2 linked regions of the Macaca mulatta genome follow. The protein of the gene in region 2 purifies or fractionates together with the protein of the main gene of each other region. This does not show direct contact. Links are inferred from orthologs where the notes say so. Each region holds a gene or a part of one and is shown on either strand. Other genes may lie near its edges.

Evidence for each region.
Region 1: the proteins of CABIN1 (region 2) and UBN1 purify together in Homo sapiens (affinity purification with western blotting; 6 studies listed by BioGRID, with this or other methods). This does not show direct contact. The link is inferred for Macaca mulatta from reciprocal best matches to the Homo sapiens genes CABIN1 and UBN1.

The regions. Positions count from the first base shown.
Region 1 is NC_133425.1:6,119,752-6,129,379, forward strand, and holds part of UBN1 (ubinuclein-1), read left to right. Parts: intron 1-4,202; coding exon 4,203-4,289; intron 4,290-4,782; coding exon 4,783-4,878; intron 4,879-5,194; coding exon 5,195-5,329; intron 5,330-6,034; coding exon 6,035-6,138; intron 6,139-6,833; coding exon 6,834-7,272; intron 7,273-9,628. UniProt on the Homo sapiens protein: Acts as a novel regulator of senescence. Involved in the formation of senescence-associated heterochromatin foci (SAHF), which represses expression of proliferation-promoting genes. Binds to proliferation-promoting genes.
Region 2 is NC_133415.1:28,356,043-28,365,670, forward strand, and holds the end of CABIN1 (calcineurin-binding protein cabin-1), read left to right. Parts: intron 1-758; coding exon of another isoform or gene 759-904; exon of another isoform or gene 905-1,573; intron 1,574-4,535; coding exon 4,536-4,700; intron 4,701-5,919; coding exon 5,920-6,282; intron 6,283-6,470; coding exon 6,471-6,907; 3' UTR 6,908-7,057; downstream 7,058-9,628. UniProt on the Homo sapiens protein: May be required for replication-independent chromatin assembly. May serve as a negative regulator of T-cell receptor (TCR) signaling via inhibition of calcineurin. Inhibition of activated calcineurin is dependent on both PKC and calcium signals.

The sequences.
Region 1 (9,628 bases), on a different chromosome or scaffold from region 2:
TAGCCAGGATGGTCTCGATCTCCTGACCTTGTGAAAATCCACCCACCTTGGCCTCCCAAAGTGCCGGGATTACAGGCATGAGCCAAGGGTCTGGCCTCTCTCTTTTTTTTTTTTTTTTCTCTTTTTTGAGACCAAGTCTTACCCTGTCACCCAGGCTGCAGTGCGGTGGTGCAATCTTGGCTCACTGCAACTTTTGCCTCCCAAGTTCAAGTGGTTCTCCTGTCTTAGCCTCCCAAGTAGCTGGGATTACAGGTGCCAGCCATCACATCTGGCTAATTTTTTTTTTTTTTTGTATTTTTAGCAGAGACGGGGTTTCACCATGTTGGTGGCCAGGCTGGTCTTGAGAACTCCTGACCTCAAGTGATCTACCCACCTTTGCCTCTCAAAGTGTTGGGATTACAGGCGTGAGCCACGGCACCCGGCTGTGTTTTTGTATTGTATGTAGATAGAATCATATGCTATTTGAGTACTGCCTAGGTGAAAAGCATTTTTAAGCACCTGTGTCTACCTTTGCACTATGCTAGGCTCTGAGGAAAAGGTAAGTAGGCCCCACACTGGCAGCATTCTAGTCTCTAGAGTGGCTCTTGGTGAAATGGGGATGAGGCTGATAATTGGCTCACAGCTGTCTGAGCGTGGAATGAGATCGTGTTGTGAAGTGTCTTTTTTTTTTTTTTTGAGACGGAGTCTCGCTCTGCCGCCCAGGCTGGAGTGCAGTGGCCAGATCTCAGCTCACCACAAGCTCCACCTCCCGGGTTTACGCCATTCTCCTGCCTCAGCCTCCCGAGTAGCTGGGACTACAGGCGCCCGCCACCTTGCCCGGCTAGTTTTTTGTATTTTTTAGTAGAGACGGGGTTTCACCATGTTAGCCAGGATGGTCTCAATCTCCTGACCTTGTGATCCGCCCGTCTTGGCCTCCCAAAGTGCTGGGTTTACAGGCTTGAGCCACTGCGCCCGGCCCTATGTTGTGAAGTTTCTAGCATTATGCCTCAGTGCCAAGTGATCAGTCGGTCTTATTCACAGGTGTGCTGTTTGGAGGGTATTTTTGGTTAGAAGGATTAACCTTTTTTTCCTGAGATTAAAAAATGTATTTTCTTGGCCTGGCATAGTGGCTCACACCTGTAATCCCAGCACTTTGGGAGTCAGAGACATGAGGATCACTTGACCACAGGAGTTCAAGACTAGCCTGGGCAACACAGTGAAACTCCATCTCTGCAAAATAATGTAGAAATTAGCTGGGCATGATGGCGCATGCCTGAAGTTCCAGCTACTCAGAAAGCTGAGGTGGCTGAGGTGGGAGGATTGCTTGAGCCTGAGAGGTCAAGGTTGCAGTGAGCCGTGATCACACTACTGCACTGGGTGAAAGCAAGACCCTGTCTTAAAAAAAAAAAAAAAAAAAAACATGGCTAGAAGGCCTGGCGCAGCATCCCAACACTTTGGGAGGCTAAGGCGGTCTGATCACTTGAGGTCAGGAGTTCGAGACTAGCCTGGCCAACATGGTGAAGCCCCATCTCTACTAAAAATACAAAAATTAGCCGGATGTGGTAGTGCACGCATGTAATGCCAGCTACTTGGGAGGCTGAGGCAGGAGAATTGTTTGAACCCAGGGGCTGGAGGTTTTAGTGAGCCGAGATCATGCCACTGCACTCCAGTCTGGGTGACAGAGCGAGACTCTGTCTCCAAAAAAAAAAAAAAAAAAGCCGGGAGTGGTGGGACGCACCTGTAATCCCAGCTCTGGGGAGGCTGAGGCGTGAGAATCACTTGAACCCAGGAGGCGGGTTTTGCAACGAGCTGAAATCGCGCCACTGTACTCCAGCCTGGGTGATGGTGAGACTCCATCTTCCCCCACCAAAAAAAACCAAACCAAAAAAAAAATGTTTCCTTGATTGAGGTCTGATTGCCTGATTGCCAGAATCGGGGCCAATGAGTCTGTACCAAGGGTCAGCCTGTTGGATGAGGGCCACTGGGCAGGATGAGAAAAAGTAATTTCACATCCCTTTATAATTCCTGTTTCAGTAAAATGGTATCTTTTTCGTTTAGAGGAAGAGACAGTAGCAGGGGTTGGTTAATGTGTTTATTTGTGGGTTGAAACCAAATCAGTAGGTCAACTGAAATGAGAACTCCAGTGCTCTGATTGCACGTTTTTGGGGGCTCCAAATGCCCTTCTCCATTGCAGACAAATGCATGGAGGATACACAGAGAACTTTGGATCCAATTCAGAGGATTCAGTCCTGGACTTCGGGTTCAGGGAACTCCTAAGTCGCCGTGGGTCTACTCTGCAGTGTTAAAAGTACAATGAAATCGGACACATTCGTGCAGCATTCTTTTAGTGTATATTTCTTAATAGTATGAAGGCACTGTGCTAGATTCAGAGGACTGTAGAAAGGTGGAGAAAACACTGTACCACACTCAAAACAAACGTGTAGATGGTTTAGGAGAATGGTACCACCACAGGTAACAGAAATTACAATACGGTCATTGTTTAAGTCTGGTACAACACAGGCCCTGGAGGTCTTGGAAAGAAGAGAGCTTATATCCTGATTAGTATTTGGACAGAGCTGGACCTTCCATCATACAGTCAGGAAATAGTAGTTATTGGAAGACTGCTGTTGGCAAGGCATTGAGTAGTATACATGGAATCCAGTGCTCCTCAAGGTTGGTGGGATTTCTTACTGTTACATAACCACTCAAGTTATATGTGATCATCCTAGAAAAATTAGAAGATCCAGATAAGTGTGTTTGAAAGACTCCCCATTTGTGGTATGTTCATTAGATGTATGCTCTATAATATCCCATTGTATGTGTACACCACAAATCATTTAACTGATCCTTTGCAGGTAGTATTTCAGTAGGCAGAGATGGAAGGGTGAGATAAGAAAGTTTGTTTGAAACAGGCATACAATCTTTAATGTTTTCTGTCTACCTTGAAGTCTTTTTTTTTTTTTTGAGACGGAGTCTCGCTGTGTCGCCCGGGCTGGAGTGCAGTGGCCGGATCTCAGCTCATTGCAAGCTCCGCCTCCCAGGTTTACGCCGTTCTCCTGCCTCAGCCTCCCGAGTAGCTGGGACTACAGGCGCCCGCCAACTCACTCGGCTAGTTTTTTGTATTTTTTAGTAGCGACGGGGTTTCACCGTGTTAGCCAGGATGGTCTCGATCTCCTGACCTCGTGATCTGCGCATCTCGGCCTCCCAAAGTGCTGGGATTACAGGCTTGAGCCACCGCGCCCGGCCTACCTTGAAGTCTTAAACATTTTTGGTACAGGAGTCTTGTTAAGGTTCCTGGCTTCTGGCTGGGTGTGGTGGCTGTCACCTGTAATCTCAGCACTTTGAGAGGCTGAGATGGGCAGATCATTTGAGCCCAAGAGCTTGAGACCAGCCTCGGCAACATGATGAAACCCTCTCTCTATAAAAGACTTAAAGAAAAAATGAGCTAGGCCTAGTGTTGCATGCCTGTGGTCCCAGCTATGCAAGAGGCTGAGGCAGGAGGATTACCCGAGCCTGGGGAGGTTGAGGCTACAGTGAGTCATGATTGTGCCACTGCACTGCAGCTTGAGTGACAGAGTGAGACTATATCTCAAAACAAAAAAAAAAATTTTTTTTAGATTCCTTGCTCAAGAACCTTAAGGCTTATCTCTGGAAAATTTGCTTGATGAGAAAAGAATAAGCTTATAAAATGGAAATAAGCCTTGGAAGCCTGAGTTTAACTTTGGTAGCACCGAGAGAAGTGCAATTTCAGACCTTTCTAAACAGTGTGGCAGAACGGCTCTCAAGAACTTGTACCACGTTCAGTGGGATTTTCACATTTTTGAGCCATTGACTCTTTTGGAAGTCAATGGACTCTTTCTTAGAATGTTTTTAAATGCATGAAGAAAATTTTAGAGTTACGAGGGAAGTCCGCTGTATTGAACGTGGTTGTGTAGCGATTGAGCATCTCCTTCTAAAGGCCCTTTGCTGTCTTTGAGCCCTGTAGCCCCTCCTGCTGTGGTGGATAATTGTAGGCATTCAGTCAAGTTTTATTAACCTGCGTGAATGGAAATTTTACTTTCTTAATTAAGATAAACATTGATGAGATAGTAGCATGTTTTATACCTTGCCTTTTTCTGAAAAACATTGTTTTTATATAGGTATTGAGTAGTCAGTGGAGTTTCTACGAATAAGAACATGGGACTATTTTGTGACTTATTTTTTATGGAACAATCTCTTTACAGAAGAAAGATCTGTCAGATCCTTTCAATGACGAAGAAAAGGAAAGGCATAAAGTGGAGGCCCTTGCCCGGAAATTTGAAGAAAAATACGTAAGATTTCTCTCTTGAGCAACAAAACAACCTCATTGGGTGGGAGAGGTTTCCATACATTTCTGTATTCCTTTAGTGGATTATCATGTAATAAACACTGATGTGGACATAAGCATTAAGCTTGGAGAGAACAGAAGCAGTTATTAAACCTAATGCATTAAGGTACAGAAAACGGGCATGGCAGAGCTAGAGTGAGGAGCTAACTGGACAAATAACCGAGAAGGGCCTGTGATCGTCTTAGAAGAAATGTTTTGGTACGAAGCATAAGAAACCATTTAGTTCATTTTTCTGTCCTAGGACATTTTATACAGATACAAATCTGCCCTGTGTTAAAAGGTTTTCAGGAAAGGAGATTTTGGGGTTTGTGTATGTGAGAGAGTGACCTTTCTAGTTAGTGCTTTTCCTCTTTGAGTCATAGCTGATGAAGTTCAAGGCCACAGTTAATTCTGTGTATTTATCAAAAAGCATGTAATCTGTTGCTTTTACATTTTAGGGTGGAAAGAAACGTAGAAAAGACCGAATACAGGACTTGATCGATATGGGGTATGGTTATGATGAATCCGATTCCTTCATCGATAACTCTGAGGCGGTAAGTAGTTACTGAAAATGCCGTGTCAGACCCACTGTGCCATAGCTCCTCCTCATACTGGCCAGGAAGCTGGGGGTGGGGTCACAGCGGCCATGCCCTCTTCCCAGCATGAGGCAGTAGCAGCGCTGATGAGAGACAAAGTGACATTCTTGATCCGGGCCTTAGTTCCCTCTTCAGAAAATGTTGACCAGAAGGATGTTTTAGCATGCTCTTGGAAGTGTCAGAGGAACATACTCACATCTCTCTCTAGACCTGCTTTGCACCTTTGGACTACAGAAGCAGAACTTGGAGCTGACAGTTTGTTTCACCCTTTCAGTATGATGAGCTTGTTCCTGCTTCTTTGACTACGAAGTATGGAGGATTTTACATTAACTCGGGAACCCTGCAGTTTAGACAAGCATCAGAGTCTGAGGATGACTTCATTAAAGAAAAGAAGAAAAAGTCTCCAAAGGTTAGAATGTGCTTGCTTTTGGATTTTAGAAATGCTTTTTGATGTGACCCTATCAGATGAGTAGGTGACTCGTCAGAATACGTGGTGCTTGGCCGGCTCAGGAGGACGGTGGAAAGGCAGAGCCGTGCCAGGTCGATGGTTCACCTCATACACATGTGCCCTGATGAGGACACGTGCCTGTGGGGGCTCTGTGCGGCACTTGGTCATCGTGTCCACCTCACATAACATCCCAGCAGGCTCAGCAGGGATCGTTTCTGGAGGTGGCCTAAGGGTGGGAAGGGTGTGGAGTGAGGGATGTGTACCACTCTTGCTGACCCTCTTCTGTGGACGTGTAGAGGACTTCAGTTCCCAGGGCTGCCACCCCACTGAAAACCAGTCAGCCTTAGGATCAGTGTGTTTAAAAACCTGTCTACCACTGCCTATGTGTTTAAAACAAGAGGTAGGGCCCACTTGTAACTTTCAAACTAGAAAGGTTTCAGGCTCCAGAATGGTCACTTTTGTCTCAGCCCTGGGTGTTTCCAGGAGACACCGTCGGTGGGAATGCTGTGGGTTTGTGGTCCAGGGACCAATCTGAGAGCTTTTGTTCATGAAGGAAATGAGACAGGTCTCAGGATGTGCCCTGGGCGGAGCAAGGCCAGTGCCGTGTAGTGCACTTGCTCCCTGAGTTAGGGAGCCGTGTAACTGTGCCTTGTCTTTAATTCTCAGAAGCGGAAGTTGAAGGAAGGTGGTGAGAAGATAAAGAAGAAGAAAAAAGATGACACTTATGACAAGGAGAAGAAATCGAAAAAGTCCAAGTTTTCCAAAGCCGGGTGAGAGGCAGCAGCTTCTTTGCTAGGATAAAGCCTGAACTGTTAGGGCAGGACGACTGGGAGCTGACTCACCTCCTCCCCACAGCTTCGGAAGAGGCAGCAGGGCCTAGCCTTCCTGTCCTCCTGCACGCCTCCCGCGGTGCCATTCTGGGCATACACGCTCACCTCTCTGTGTGTCAGATAGTTCCACTGTCAGTGTTGGCAGCTATTCTTGTCACTGTGTGACTGCTGATGTTTCTCGTTCTCCGGGACGCTCCTCTCTGCCCCAGTTCTCCTTCTGTCTCTGCTGTTTTCCCTTGTCGTCTGTGGTCCTGCTTCCTTCTCCTCACTTGGTCTCACCCCAGCTGCTCTTCAAGTTGCTGCTGTTCTCTGCTGCTCCTGCTTTCTCCCTGTAAATACTTTTCTTGCTCTCCCTGCCCCTTTTTGCAACCTTTTATTTCAGCCTGGCAGTGGTTTCTAAAAACCCGTCGGAAATTTAGCATATGTGACACTGTGTTGCTAACCTGTATTAACTCTCAAGCTTTGGTCTCAGCAAGAACGAGCTCCATATGCCAAGAGGAGGGAGGAGGAATGACAGGGTGGACTGTGACAGGTTCTCCTGGAGACCATGGCCCTGGGAGCAGGGGTGAAGGCCTCTGGAGTTCCCTTTGGCAGTGTCCTGTAGTCTGAGTGACCAGTTTCCCTCTTGCTTGCAGCTTCACAGCCCTCAATGCCAGTAAGGAGAAGAAGAAGAAGAAATATTCTGGGGCGTTAAGCGTTAAAGAGATGCTAAAGAAATTTCAGAAGGAGAAAGAGGCTCAGAAAAAAAGGGAGGAGGAGCATAAGCCTGTTGCGGTCCCATCAGCGGAAGCTCAGGGCCTGCGAGAACTGGAGGGTGCCTCTGACCCCTTGCTCTCACTCTTTGGCTCCACTTCTGACAACGACTTCCTCCAGGCGGCCACTGCCATGGACTCGCTGACGGATTTGGACTTGGAGCATCTGCTCAGTGAGTCTCCAGAAGGAAGCCCCTTCCGTGATATGGATGATGGAAGTGATTCCCTTGGGGTGGGATTGGACCAGGAATTCAGGCAGCCCTCTTCTCTCCCCGAAGGCCTGCCAGCACCCCTGGAGAAGCGCGTTAAGGAGCTGGCTCAGGTATGGTGACACAGTGCGGCTGGGCTTTCCTGGAAGCAGTTTGGGCAGATTGCCGTTGGTTCTGCACTGCGTGAAGCTCGCCCAGAGAAACCTTAGTGAGTTGGCAGTTAAGGTGTCAGCTTTTTCCAAACTCTCTTCTCATTCTGAGGGAGAAAACAGTGCAAGCCTTGCCCGTCAGGCATCATTTTAGGCCATTCTTCATTTCTTCATTTCTGGAAAGTTTGCTTTCTTCTGGGGAGATGGTTGTCTTTCTGTTTTCTGTCAGATTATTCTGTTTTCTGTCAGTTTTCCACTCGGCATCTTTTCTTTCATGTGATAGATGGATGATGTTGGCAACAGGCAGCTGAGGCAGAGATTCATCTTAGAATTCTTCCGAAGGTTTTGCAAATTCACAAAAGTTTGCAAACATATGAATTGCACATAGAGTATATGCTTCGTTGCCACTAGGTTTCAGTTGCTCCTTTGCATTGTGTATCTAGAGTTAGGTAGTGATTACGGGAATGCTTCCAATGTGATGAATGAAAAGTAACTTAATTTTAATTGCCGTCCATGCCCCGTTAAAACCCACCATTGGCGGGGCACGGTGGCTCACACCTGTAATCCCAGCACTTTGGGAGGCCGAGGCAGGTGGATCACCTGAGGTCAGGAGTTCGAGACCAGCCTGGCCAACATGGTGAAACCCTCTTTCTACTAAAAATACAAAAATTTAGCTGGGCAGGGTGGTGCATACCATAATCCTAGCTACTTGAAAGGCTGAGGCAGGAGAATCACTTGAATCCAGGAGGCGGAGGTTGTGGTGAGTGGAGATGGCGCCAGTGCACTCCAGCCTGGGCCACAGAGCGAGACTCTGTTAAAAAACAAACCAACCACCATCACCACCTTTAGGATATAGCAGCTCTTGCTGTTTTCCTCCAGTGACTGGGAATTGATCCCTAAGCTCTGAGAATTGTCTGTTCAAGTAACATATTTCTTAACTGTAAACCTGGCATGGATCATTAGTTGTAATATCATTTACCTTTAAGTTAAAATAACATTTTATCTTAAGCATCAGGACTTGTGATGCAGCTCTGGTGGCACTCATAATCTACAGCTGTAGGTTTTAAACCAGCAGTTCTTACAGTATTTTAGAAGCATTGTTACGTATAGTATCCTTTGTGTTTTAGGGCAGGGTAAATTGTCAGCCACTGCTAAAATGATTTTCTCACTTCCAAAAACTATTTGAACGCCGTATATAAAGCAAATAAAGTATCTGTTCCAATCTCTATCTCATCTTTGTCAGCTTGTGTTCAGCATTGGAAATTCAAGTATTGTATTTGAATGTAATGATTTAAATGAATTGTGCCATGTTGGGGTTTGGAGTATCCCTTAAGTATGACCTTGAGGTGGAAGTAGCTGAATCTGAACTTGGTGTGTTTGAGCCTACTGTCCTATATTTGCTTTCAGAATTCATGTTAAACAAACATTATATCTTGCTCTTTTTAATCCTCTGGTTTGTAATCAAATTGTTTCATAGTCTCTGAAAGTCTTGTTAAATCATTTAAGGTCTATGTGATGATAGCTGCTCATTAGAGAAAAGTCAAAACCAAATTCTTGGCTGTGTCTCCACTCATGCCATAGGTTGTGTTCTAGTGTGAAGACTTGCTGTTTCACTTTCTTGGGAAAGATAGGGACAGATTTAGTGTCAACAAAATGATACAACCGGAAAAAGCATGGGGCTCTGGTGCAAGAAAGCGGAACTGAGTAAACACCTTGTTAGGCAACCTGCCCTGCCTCAGTGATTGCCAAGTGTCGGTTAGCTCTTGGGCATAACAAACACATGGTTCAGGATCCCATAGTCAAGGTGGGCCTGGGGCCCGGTGGGGAGCTGGTGACCAGGAGAGGCTGATGTTCTGGTTTGAAAATATGATATTCAAATGTGAAGTTGATATTCGAGTCTTCGCATTGCCCTTCTCCTGTAACAGCTTTAAGAAACTTTGAAAATGGGGTGGCAAGTGTGTAGAAATGATCCATCCGGCCAATATAAAAACAATTTCTAGTTGGATATTCTTTTCTAGCCTCTGTGTATGTGTTTTTATGCAACTGTAATTATAGTTGTGAATAACTGTTTCCTGCCTTTTTACATAATATTGTAAAACCCTCATCACTTTTCATGGTTGCATTAAAAAGGTGGCTTATTTTAGAAAATTGCTGAATGCTACTCCGAAGGGTCCTCAGGTGCGCTGTTCTGACCAGGGCCCTGTTCTCGGGGCATTTGGAGGCCCCACATGTGTGTGCAAATGCTCTGGACCCCTGATCCCGCTGAGAATCTGCTGGGAAACATAGTCTTCCCAGGGAAATAATGCACTGGTATACATAC
Region 2 (9,628 bases):
TAGTGCTAGCTGGGCGTGTTGGCTCACACCTGTAATCCCAGCACTGTGGGAGGCCGAGGTGGGTGGGTCATGAGGTCAAGAGATGGAAACCATCCTGGCCAACATGGTGAAACCCCATCTCTACCCAAAATACAAAAATTAGCTGGGTGTGGCGGTGGGTGCCTGTAATCCCACCTACTCGGGAGGCTGAAGCAGAATTGCTTGAAGCTGGGAGGTGGAGGTTGCAGTGAGCCGACCTCACGCTACTGCACTCCAGCCCGGGCAACAGAGCAAGACTCCATCTCAAAAAAGAGAACTGTAGTGGTTCTACCACCATGTGACCTTGGCCATCCCTTTTCTTCTTTCTGCCTCAATTTCCTGCATAAAATGGATAAGATGAAGATAATGGCACTGCAGGATTTGGAATGGTGCTTGGTATTAAGCAGAGACCTGGCATGGGTTTTGGGTTTTTTTTATATTTTTAGTGGAGACAGAGGTTTCCCCATGTTGGCCAGGCTGGTCTCGAACTCCTGACCTCAGGTGATCCACCTGCCTCGGCCTCCCATGCTGGGGTTACAGGAATGAGCCACCACGCCCAGCCTGTTTGTTTTGAAACAGGGTCTCACTCTGTTGCCCAGGCTGGAGTGCAGCAGTGCGATCATGGCTCACTGCAGCCTCAACCGCCCTGGGCTCAGGTGATCCTCCCACCTCAGCCTCCCAGGTAGCTGAGACTACAAGCACAGGCCACTACACCTGGCTAATTTTTGTATTTTTTGTAGAGATGGGGTTTCACCATGTTGCCCAAGCTGATCTTAAACTCCTGGGCTCAGGAGATCCACTCGCCTCAGCCTCTCAAAGTGCTGGGATTACAGGTGTGAACCACCATGCCCCGCCTGGTGATGGTGATTTCAAGGTGTGGGGGTGATGGGAGCCCAGTGCCATAATCAGTTGGTCAGTGTCGGTAGCTGACTCACTCCCATGAAGACCCAGTTCCTGTCCCTCTGTCTCGGGCTGTCTTGCCTTGTACCCGTCTCATACTCTCATCTTGTAATTTTTGACGGTCAGGAATTTACAATGGCTTAGTGGGGTGGAGTTGGCTCAGGGTCTCGCACGTGGTTGCAGTCAAGGTATCATCAGTGCATCTGAGCTCCCTTGGGGTGTTGGCAGCCTCAGGTCCTCACTGGTTATTGGCCAGAGGCCTCGGCTCCTCCCATGGGCCTTTCTATAAACAACTGAGTGTCTCTGTGTCGTGGTGACTGGTTCTCCCCAGAGCCATTGACTCCACCGAGAGAACACAGAGGAAGCCTCGGTGTCTTTTATAACCTAATCTCAGGAGCTACTGAGATCACTGTAGGCCACACACACCTCCCCGGGGTGTGGGAGGGCCCGGTGGATGCCAGGGCCAGGGGTAGCGGGGTAGGGGGCTGGAGGCTGCCTGCTTTCCCTCTGCCTGCCTGTCCCACCGCCAAGCAGGCCAAAGCTGTAATTCACGTCCTTCTCTCCTCTAACTGTTAGATCTAAGAAAGAGGATCTGTTTCCTAGCATACCTTCTTCAGCCTGGAGAGTTGATCCTTTTCTATTCCCATTCCCAAAACCAAATTAAATGGCTTTTTGCCAGGATGAAACTTTTTTTTTTTTTTTTTTTTTTTGAGACGGAGTCTCGCTCTGTCGCCCAGGCTGGAGTGCAGTGGCCGGATCTCAGCTCACTGCAAGCTCCTACTCTCGGGTTCCCGCCATTCTCCTGCCTCAGCCTCCCGAGTAGCTGGGACTACAGGCACTCGCCACCGCGCCCGGCTAGTTTTTTGTATTTTTTAGTAGAGACGGGGTTTCACCGTGTTAGCCAGGATGGTCTCGATCTCCTGACCTTGTGATCCGCCCGTCTCGGCCTCCCAAAGTGCTGGGATTACAGGCGTGAGCCACCGCGCCCAGCCTAGGATGAAACTCTTGAATGACACTGGGGGCAGGGAGCAGCCCTCAGCTGAGAATGTGCCATTGTAGGCCTGGCCTCTTCCTAATGGCCCGTGCTCGGCATTCCCTGAGCAGCCCCGCTCCGCTTCCATACCTGCCCGCCTCAGGGCTGCCGCAGATCCGCAAGCAGAGGGCGTGTGGCTGGTCATGTTGGAGTGGGCATCCCCCAAGGGTCCTCAGAGCTTTCTGGGGTGGTAACACAGCCAAGCTGAAACAGGCATGTCCCCCCAGAGCCCATCCCACAACCTCTAGAAAGGGGGAAGCACCAGGAACAAGCTGGCCTCAGCAGGGCCAAGGCCCCCCAGGCTTGCTGCAACCGGCTGCTGCAGGGGACGGCAGGTTCTGCCTGCAGAGGCGCCCAGCAATTTGAGAGTGTCCAGGCCTGGAGCCACAGCTGGGCTGGGGATGAGGCTGGGAGCCAGGGCTGAGCAATGGCTGAGCCACTTGGGAGGGCAGATTTGAGGATGAATTCTCTAAGGATGCTGTACTCAACGTGTGAGGGAGCCAGGAGGGCCGTGTAGCGGGGCCCCTGGCAGGTGCTGTTCCCAGGGTGGGCAGCCCTGTCTCCAGTGGGAAGGTGGCCGCGGAAGCAGGCAGGGTGCTCTCAGGTGCCCCTCTTCCCTAGGGAAGAGCTCACCCATCTACCCAGGCTGTGCTGACCAGGCCGTGGCCCCATGCAGCATTTGCATCCAGAGAGCTCGGGGTCAGTCAGGGCTCTTGTGTCCCCAGAGGGACCCTGGCACTGCCTGTCCAGGCATCTCTCTCCTCTGGGCACGTGCTTATCTCCTTTGCCATGTGCCTGCCCACCACAGCCCAAGACCTGGTTCCATGAACAGCTGCTAGAACAGTGCCTGGCCTTAGAAGAGGAAGACCCCTCTCTCTGAGGCAGTCAGGCCATCTAGGGTGAGGGGAGTGGAGCAAGGCGGGAGGGTGGAACAGGGGTTCCCAAATCTAGACTCAAGTAAGGGCACCACCCCTGAGCATGGTGAAGGGGGCTGGAATGCTGGCCCTCATGCAGGTCCCTAGAGGCCAGGGGGAGACAGAGCCAGGCCCAGAAGCCTCCTGGGATATAGGGCCTGGGAGACAACCAGCCCAGACCTGGCACCTGGCTCATGGGTCTGCGCTGAGGAGCAGGGAGAGTTGCCCCAGTGGCACAGGATTTTGGCCTGGCCACCTGCTTCCCACAGAGAACTCAAGTCGTGGGGTAGCTGGGGGAGCTCCAGACAGCCCTTTTCTGCAAGATGGATCCCCAAGTAGGCCCCTCCCCTCAGCCCCCCTCACCATAGTGCTCCTCATAAGGCAGCCAGGTAGCCTGGGGAGGGAGGGTGCCTGCCCCTGCCTCCTCCTGCAGAATGCCACAGCAAGAAAGCCAGGTGCCTGCCCTTCCACCCCCACTGAGGGGTGTGTCCAGCCAGGCTGCTGGCCTGCGGAAGGGCCACAGGACTGAGAGGAGGCCTGCTTGGTGGGTGTGTACCCAGCCCTGGTGAGCCCTGACCTGCCTGCAAGAGGTAGGGGAGTGGCTGGGAGCTTGGCAGGAGGAGCCTTCTGAGGAACTCATCCTTGCCAGACAGTGTTTCAGGGGCTGGACCTGGGAATGACAGTGAGCAAAGGAGGGAGTGGCCCGAGGGGGTGGAGGCTTGAGACAAGGCCTCAGCCAGCCTGGGGCAGGAGCTTCAGGCAAAGCAGCCCGATGGGCATGGCCATGGCTCCTGAGGCCTCTGCCTAGCCCAGCAGTCTCCTGCTGGCCCCAGCTTTGTACTGGGAGCTGTCACTCCTGCTGACCAAGGAGGGGAGCTGGCACCCCCTGCTGGAGAGGACAGAGGGCTTCCTGGCAGAGGAGTGGGATGGGGAGGCGGGGGCGGGCTGGAAAGGCAGTGGTTGATGAACAGTGTGATGGGAGAGTCCAGGCCTGAGTGAGAAGACGGGGAGCAGCAAGGGAAGCGAGGGCCATGTGGAGGGTGGGGGCAGGGCTTGGAGGCCTGGGAACTGGGGACCGATGCTGAGTAACCGCCTGACCAGCAGCCATATGGACAGCATTTGCCTCTTAGGCCCATCCTGGCCTTGGCACAACTGAGCCCAATTCCTGGCCCCTGCCTCAGGCCAGGAAAGGTGTAGCTGGCTGGACAGGAGCCACAGTGCCAGCATCCACTTTGGTCTTAGTTGGGTTGTTTGGGTTTTGGTCCTGATCTTGTTTCTGAATGCTGCTTATGTGAGCTGGAGGGAGAGTGGACACCACCCCGCATCCCCTCTCACTGCCTTTTGATGGGATCTTAGAGAGGCTGGGCCTCGAAGACTCAGGTGTGGCCCCACTGGATCAGGTGTACAGCCCTCTTGGGGGCGGGGAGCCCTCTGGGGGTGGGGAGCCAGCCCCCACCAGTGTCCTCTTGGGTGGTGAGTGATTTCTTGGCAGCACCAACCCGGGCTGCCCTGTGGAGGGGAGAGACGCCTCAGCCAGGACCCCAGCATTGGCCATGCTCCCCTGCCCAATGTCCCAGGGCACAGCCTGGGCCCATGGGACCTGGAACAGATGCATGGGAGCCTGTGGGGTGGATGAGTCCATTACCCGTGGTGAGCCCATGTCCCCACAGAGGGAGAAGAGCTGGCGAGAGTGGCAGAGGGCACGGGCTTCCCACCCCAGGAGCCACGGTGCAGTGCGCAAGTGAAGACGGCCCCCACAAGTTCCCCAGCAGAGCCACACTGCTGGCCAGCAGAGGCTGCCCCAGGGACAGGCACCGAGCCCACCTGCAGCCAGGGTAAGGCGAGTTGGGAGCAGCCCAGCACCAGCCCGCAGGAGGCTGCCTCACAGCTGGCAGCCAGGGTGGGTTTCCTGTCCTGGCCTTGGAGGGCAGGGCCTGGGGATGCCCCATGGAATGAGATGGGGAGGAAATGGGGGTAGTGCAGGCCGGAGAGGGGAGCCAAGGGAGAGGCCCAGGCTGAAGAGTTTGGCTCATGGCCCATTGTGTCAGGGGCTGGGTAAAGAGGGACACCAGAGGCTTATTCTGTCCCTGGCATCATGGAAGGGTACTAGCGAGGGCAGGCAGCCTGCTTGGGCGCACTGCAAGACCCAGGCTGAGCCCAGAGTGGGGAAAGAGGGGCAGTCATGGACAGGGAGGAGCATGGGCCCCGTAACAGACACTTGAGGGACATCAGCAGCAGGCAGAAGGGTGGACAGGTTGGGCTGGGCCAAGCAGGCTTCCCTGTCGGCAACCACGTCAGATTCTAGCCCTGGCCTCTGTCCGGCCTGTTCCCACCAGCTGCTCCAACCAGGCAGGCCCCTTGGGGACTCCTCCTGGCGTGGGCCTCCCACAGACCACTCGGGATGGCAGGACCTGGCGCCAGCCCCTGGGGGCCAGGCATGGGCTCTGTGTAAACCCCATTCCTTTTAAAGCCATGGGGCTGCAGAGGAATGTGGAGGCGAGCCAGGCCAGCCGGGTCCTCCCGGCTCATGCAGCTCCCTAGAGGCTGCCAGGCCTGCAACTGTCCCAGCTTTCAGGCTCTGGGCAAACTCAGCCCCTTGCTCCCTCTGGAGGATGAGGTGAAAGTGGAGGCCCTGGAGCCAGCCCAGTGACCACACCTAGCTGAGTGACCAGCTCTGGGCTTCAGTGTCCTCCCTGGGGCATAGACACCAATAGGACATGGATCCTAGGATGGTTGTGGGGATGTGACAGTTCATGCAAGCATGATGCCTGGAGGTCTTACAGAACGCAGCAAGGCTTGGGGAGTCTCAGGCCCTGGGCTTTTTGAGTTCATGGTGTTACTGGGTGAGGTTCACAGTCCCAGCTCCTCACAGCCCAGGGCCAGAGTTGGGTCCCTGCAGGCTTGAGCCAAGTATCTGCCCAGGGTAGAAGCCTTGGAGCCTGCCAGCCAGCACAAACTACACAGCATAAAGACCCAGGACCAGTGGGGGCGAGATAAAGTGCTCACTGTGTGATGCAGCAGGCAGGAGGTGCTCTTGGTCCCTTTGTCTTCCAGAGGGGAAACTGAGGCCTGAGCCGAGAAGGGAAGGGGAGGCTCAGGAGGCTGCGAGTGAGACTCAGCCCCTGAGCTCTCCCCCAACAGCTGCCAGCTCCAAGGCCCCCAGCGGTGGGAGTGCCCAGCCACCAGAGGGTCACCCAGGCAAGGCAGAGCCCAGCCGGGCTAAGTCCCGCCCCCTGCCCAACATGCCAAAGCTGGTCATCCCCTCCGCCGCCACCAAGTTCCCCCCTGAGATCACCGTCACGCCACCCACCCCAACCCTGCTCTCCCCCAAAGGCAGCATCTCGGAGGAGACCAAGCAGAAACTGAAGGTGACCTCAGGGTCTGGGCCGGAACCACGCGTGTGGGTGGGCCGCACAGGTTACAAGGGGACCTAGGGTGGGGGTGGGGGTGGCAGGAGGGGCTGGGGGTGTAGGTGAGGATGGCATAGGGGCCTGGGACAGGGGTGAGGGTGAATCGGGAGCCTGGGGCAGGGGTGAAGGTGGCAGAGGGGTTTGGGGCAGAGCCCAACCATCCCTGACTAGTGCCCCGCTCGGCCCTCTCTGCAGTCAGCCATCCTTTCTGCCCAGTCTGCTGCCAACGTGAGGAAGGAGAGCCTGTGCCAGCCGGCCCTGGAGGTCCTGGAGACATCCAGCCAGGAGTCCTCGCTGGAGAGCGAGACAGACGAGGACGACGACTACATGGACATTTGAGGGGCCCCTGCAGCCCCACCGCCACGCCCCAGGAGACTGGCCAGGCCTGGGATGCCCTGGAATGCCCCCTCAGCCTGGACCCTGGGCAGGGCCAGAGGCCCACGTGGGATGCCACTCCCCACACAGCCCCCAGGCCTGCCCAGTCCACCTCCTCATGGCATTCACCCTGTACCCAGGTCAGGGCTGTCCACACCACGTGGGAGCCCAGAGGAGGAGGGGTCCACCTTAGCCATGTGAAGGTGGATTGGTCGCCATCTGCACGCCAGGCGGCATCGTTTTCTATGAAATGTTGACTTTCTAAATCTGCCCACACCCAGCTGGCCATGTCCACCCCTCGACGCCGGGATGAGCCGGCTGTGCCTGTGTCACAGTGGAGGGGTCCTTTAGGGCCAGGCTCGCCCCTCACTTTTTTTGGTTGCTTTTCTAATAAAGATGGAACAGTTGTCTTTGCCTCTTTGCTCACCTCTAGGGGGCAATCCCGCAGAGTCTTGGGTGGAGGGTTGCTGTCCCCAGGGATTCTGGGCCTGGGCCTTTACTGCCATAGCCCATAGGGCAGGGCCCAGCCCCCATCCTTCTCCAGCATCTCAGGGATCAACCAGGCAACCAAAGCAGCGACTGGGGGTGCCCAGTGGGGTAAGGAGAGTGCCGGTTTGGGGCTGGGCTGGGCAGACGCCTCCAGTGCAGCTGGAGCCGGGCCTCAAAGGGGCATTAGGTGCATCCCCAGAATTCCCCCGGCTGTTGGTGGGTGGGAGGCTGTATGGTGGGAGGGCAGGCAGGACTGGGGCTGCTGAGAGGCTGGGAGGAGGGGCCGTCAGGGAGGGAAAGGGGGGATGGGGCCGGCAGGGAGGACACTTAGTCCCAACACCATCGCCCTAACAGGGCCAGTCAGAGAATAGCTGTGGGGCTCAGTGCAAGACGTAAATATGAAGCCCCTTGTTCAAAAATGATTAAGGATTTTTTTTTTCTTTTCTTTTTTTTCTTTTTTCTTTTTCTTTTTTTTTTTTTTTTTTTTTTTTTGAGGCAGTCTCACTCCATCTCCCAGGCTAGAGTGCAGTGGCACGATCTCAGCTCACTAAACTTCCGCCTTTCGGGTTCAAGCGATTCTCCTGCCTCAGCCTCCCAAGTAGCTGAGACCACAGGCACACGCCACCACTCCCGGCAATTTTTGCATTTTTAATAGAGATGGAGTTTCACCATATTGGCCAGGCTGGTCTCGAACTCCTGACCTCAAGAGATCCACCCACCTTGGCTACCCAAACTGCTGAGATTACAGGCGTCAGTCACCATGCCTGATCAAAAATGATTAAGGATTTTTTTTTTTTTTTTTTTTTTTTGAGATGGAGTCTCGCTCTGTCACCCAGGCTGGAGTGCAGTGGCTGGATCTCAGCTCACTGCAAGCTCCGCCTCCCGGGTTTACGCCATTCTCCTGCCTCAGCCTCCCGAGTAGCTGGGACTACAGGCGCCTGCCACCTCGCCCAGCTAAGTTTTTGTATTTTTAGTAGAGACGGGGTTTCACTGTGTTAGCCAGGGTGGTCTTGATCTCCTGACCTCGTGATCCGCCCGTCTCGGCCTCCCAAAGTGCTGGGATTACAGGCTTGAGCCACCGCGCCCGGCCTATGATTAAGGATTTTAAAGCAGCCCCCACAGAGCATTAAACAAGCCCCTGAAGCTGGCCCCGCCCCTGAAGGTTCCAGGCCCATCTGTTTTGGGGATGTACAGGTTCCAGGGGCCCAAACCCACCCTTCACCACCCTCTTCCCCTCCCAGCACCACAGGGGCCCTCCTGGCCCCTGGGACCGCCCACGAAGCAGGCTCTCTGTCCAGGATGGAGATGGGGACCCTCCTCACTGCCCTGTGCCCCTCATGGGCTGGACATGCCCACCACCCAGGAAGGAAGGCGTAAAGGGCTGGGCACCGCCCTTGTGGAACCAGAGGCTTGGCGGCCCTAGATGGTTCTGGCTGAACCCGCCTTCGGAGGGCTGAGATGAGCCGGCCGGCCGCAGTTACTCAGCTGACGCCCCCTCCCTGCAGGGCCTGGGGTAAGGAGCTTCCCAGACTGCACACCTAGCCCCCACCGCACTTCCATCATCTCCAGACACACACAGCAAGGGTGCCCAGGCCAGAAACAGGAAGCAGCAGCTCTTCGTCCTCCTGTTCCCGGGAACCGTCTCAGCCAACCCCCAACACCCCTCCCTGGATCCTCACCTCAGGGACACCTCGGACCCTCCCGTGCACCCAGTACTGTAGGGAGAAACCTCAGCCCTGGGCCCGGGATGAGTGCCCTCGCCAGCCTGGGATCAGGAGACAGGCTCTCCCTGGCTCAGCACCTGAGTGTCCACTCACAGGACACTCACCTGCAGAGATGCCCTGAGCGCCGTTGTGGGTTAAGGGACTTTTTCCCCTCTGGAAACAGTCGCTGGGAAGCTGAAGGTCTTGAGGGCCTCTCACCAAATGTCTTTGGGAGGTGGGAAGACATCAAATGTGGGTGTGGCTTCCCTGGAACAGCTGTGTGTGAGGACTCAGGAGCCAAGTCCCCCAGCGCACGCCTCTAACACCTTCAGTAAGGGCCACCCCTCTGGAGCCACAGGTGGCTGCCAACACGCTGTGGTTCCCAGCAGGCACCACCCAGGCAAGAGAGAGAACAGGCCGGGGAACAATGGACTGGCCTGGCCCCAAGTGCTGGGCAGATCAGAGACCAGATGGCCTAAGCTCATGCCCTGGGGCCAGCTCTGACTCCCTGCAAGTGTGGCAAGAGTCCCTTTTGGACACCTTGAGAAGCTGCAGCTGGGAGAGGACCACCCGCCTGTCTGGACATCCAGCCCAGATGGCAGGGCCCAAGTGACCAATCCCAGGCCACAGCCCTTACGGCCCACCCTGGCTGCAGGGGCTCCCAGAAGCCACCAAGGGCCTGACTTGGCCTTGCCTGTCCACATCTGAGCTTCAGTTTCCTCATCTGCTCAAGAAGGGGAGGGAAACACTGATTAGATTATGCAAACTCTGAGTGGCAGGATTAGG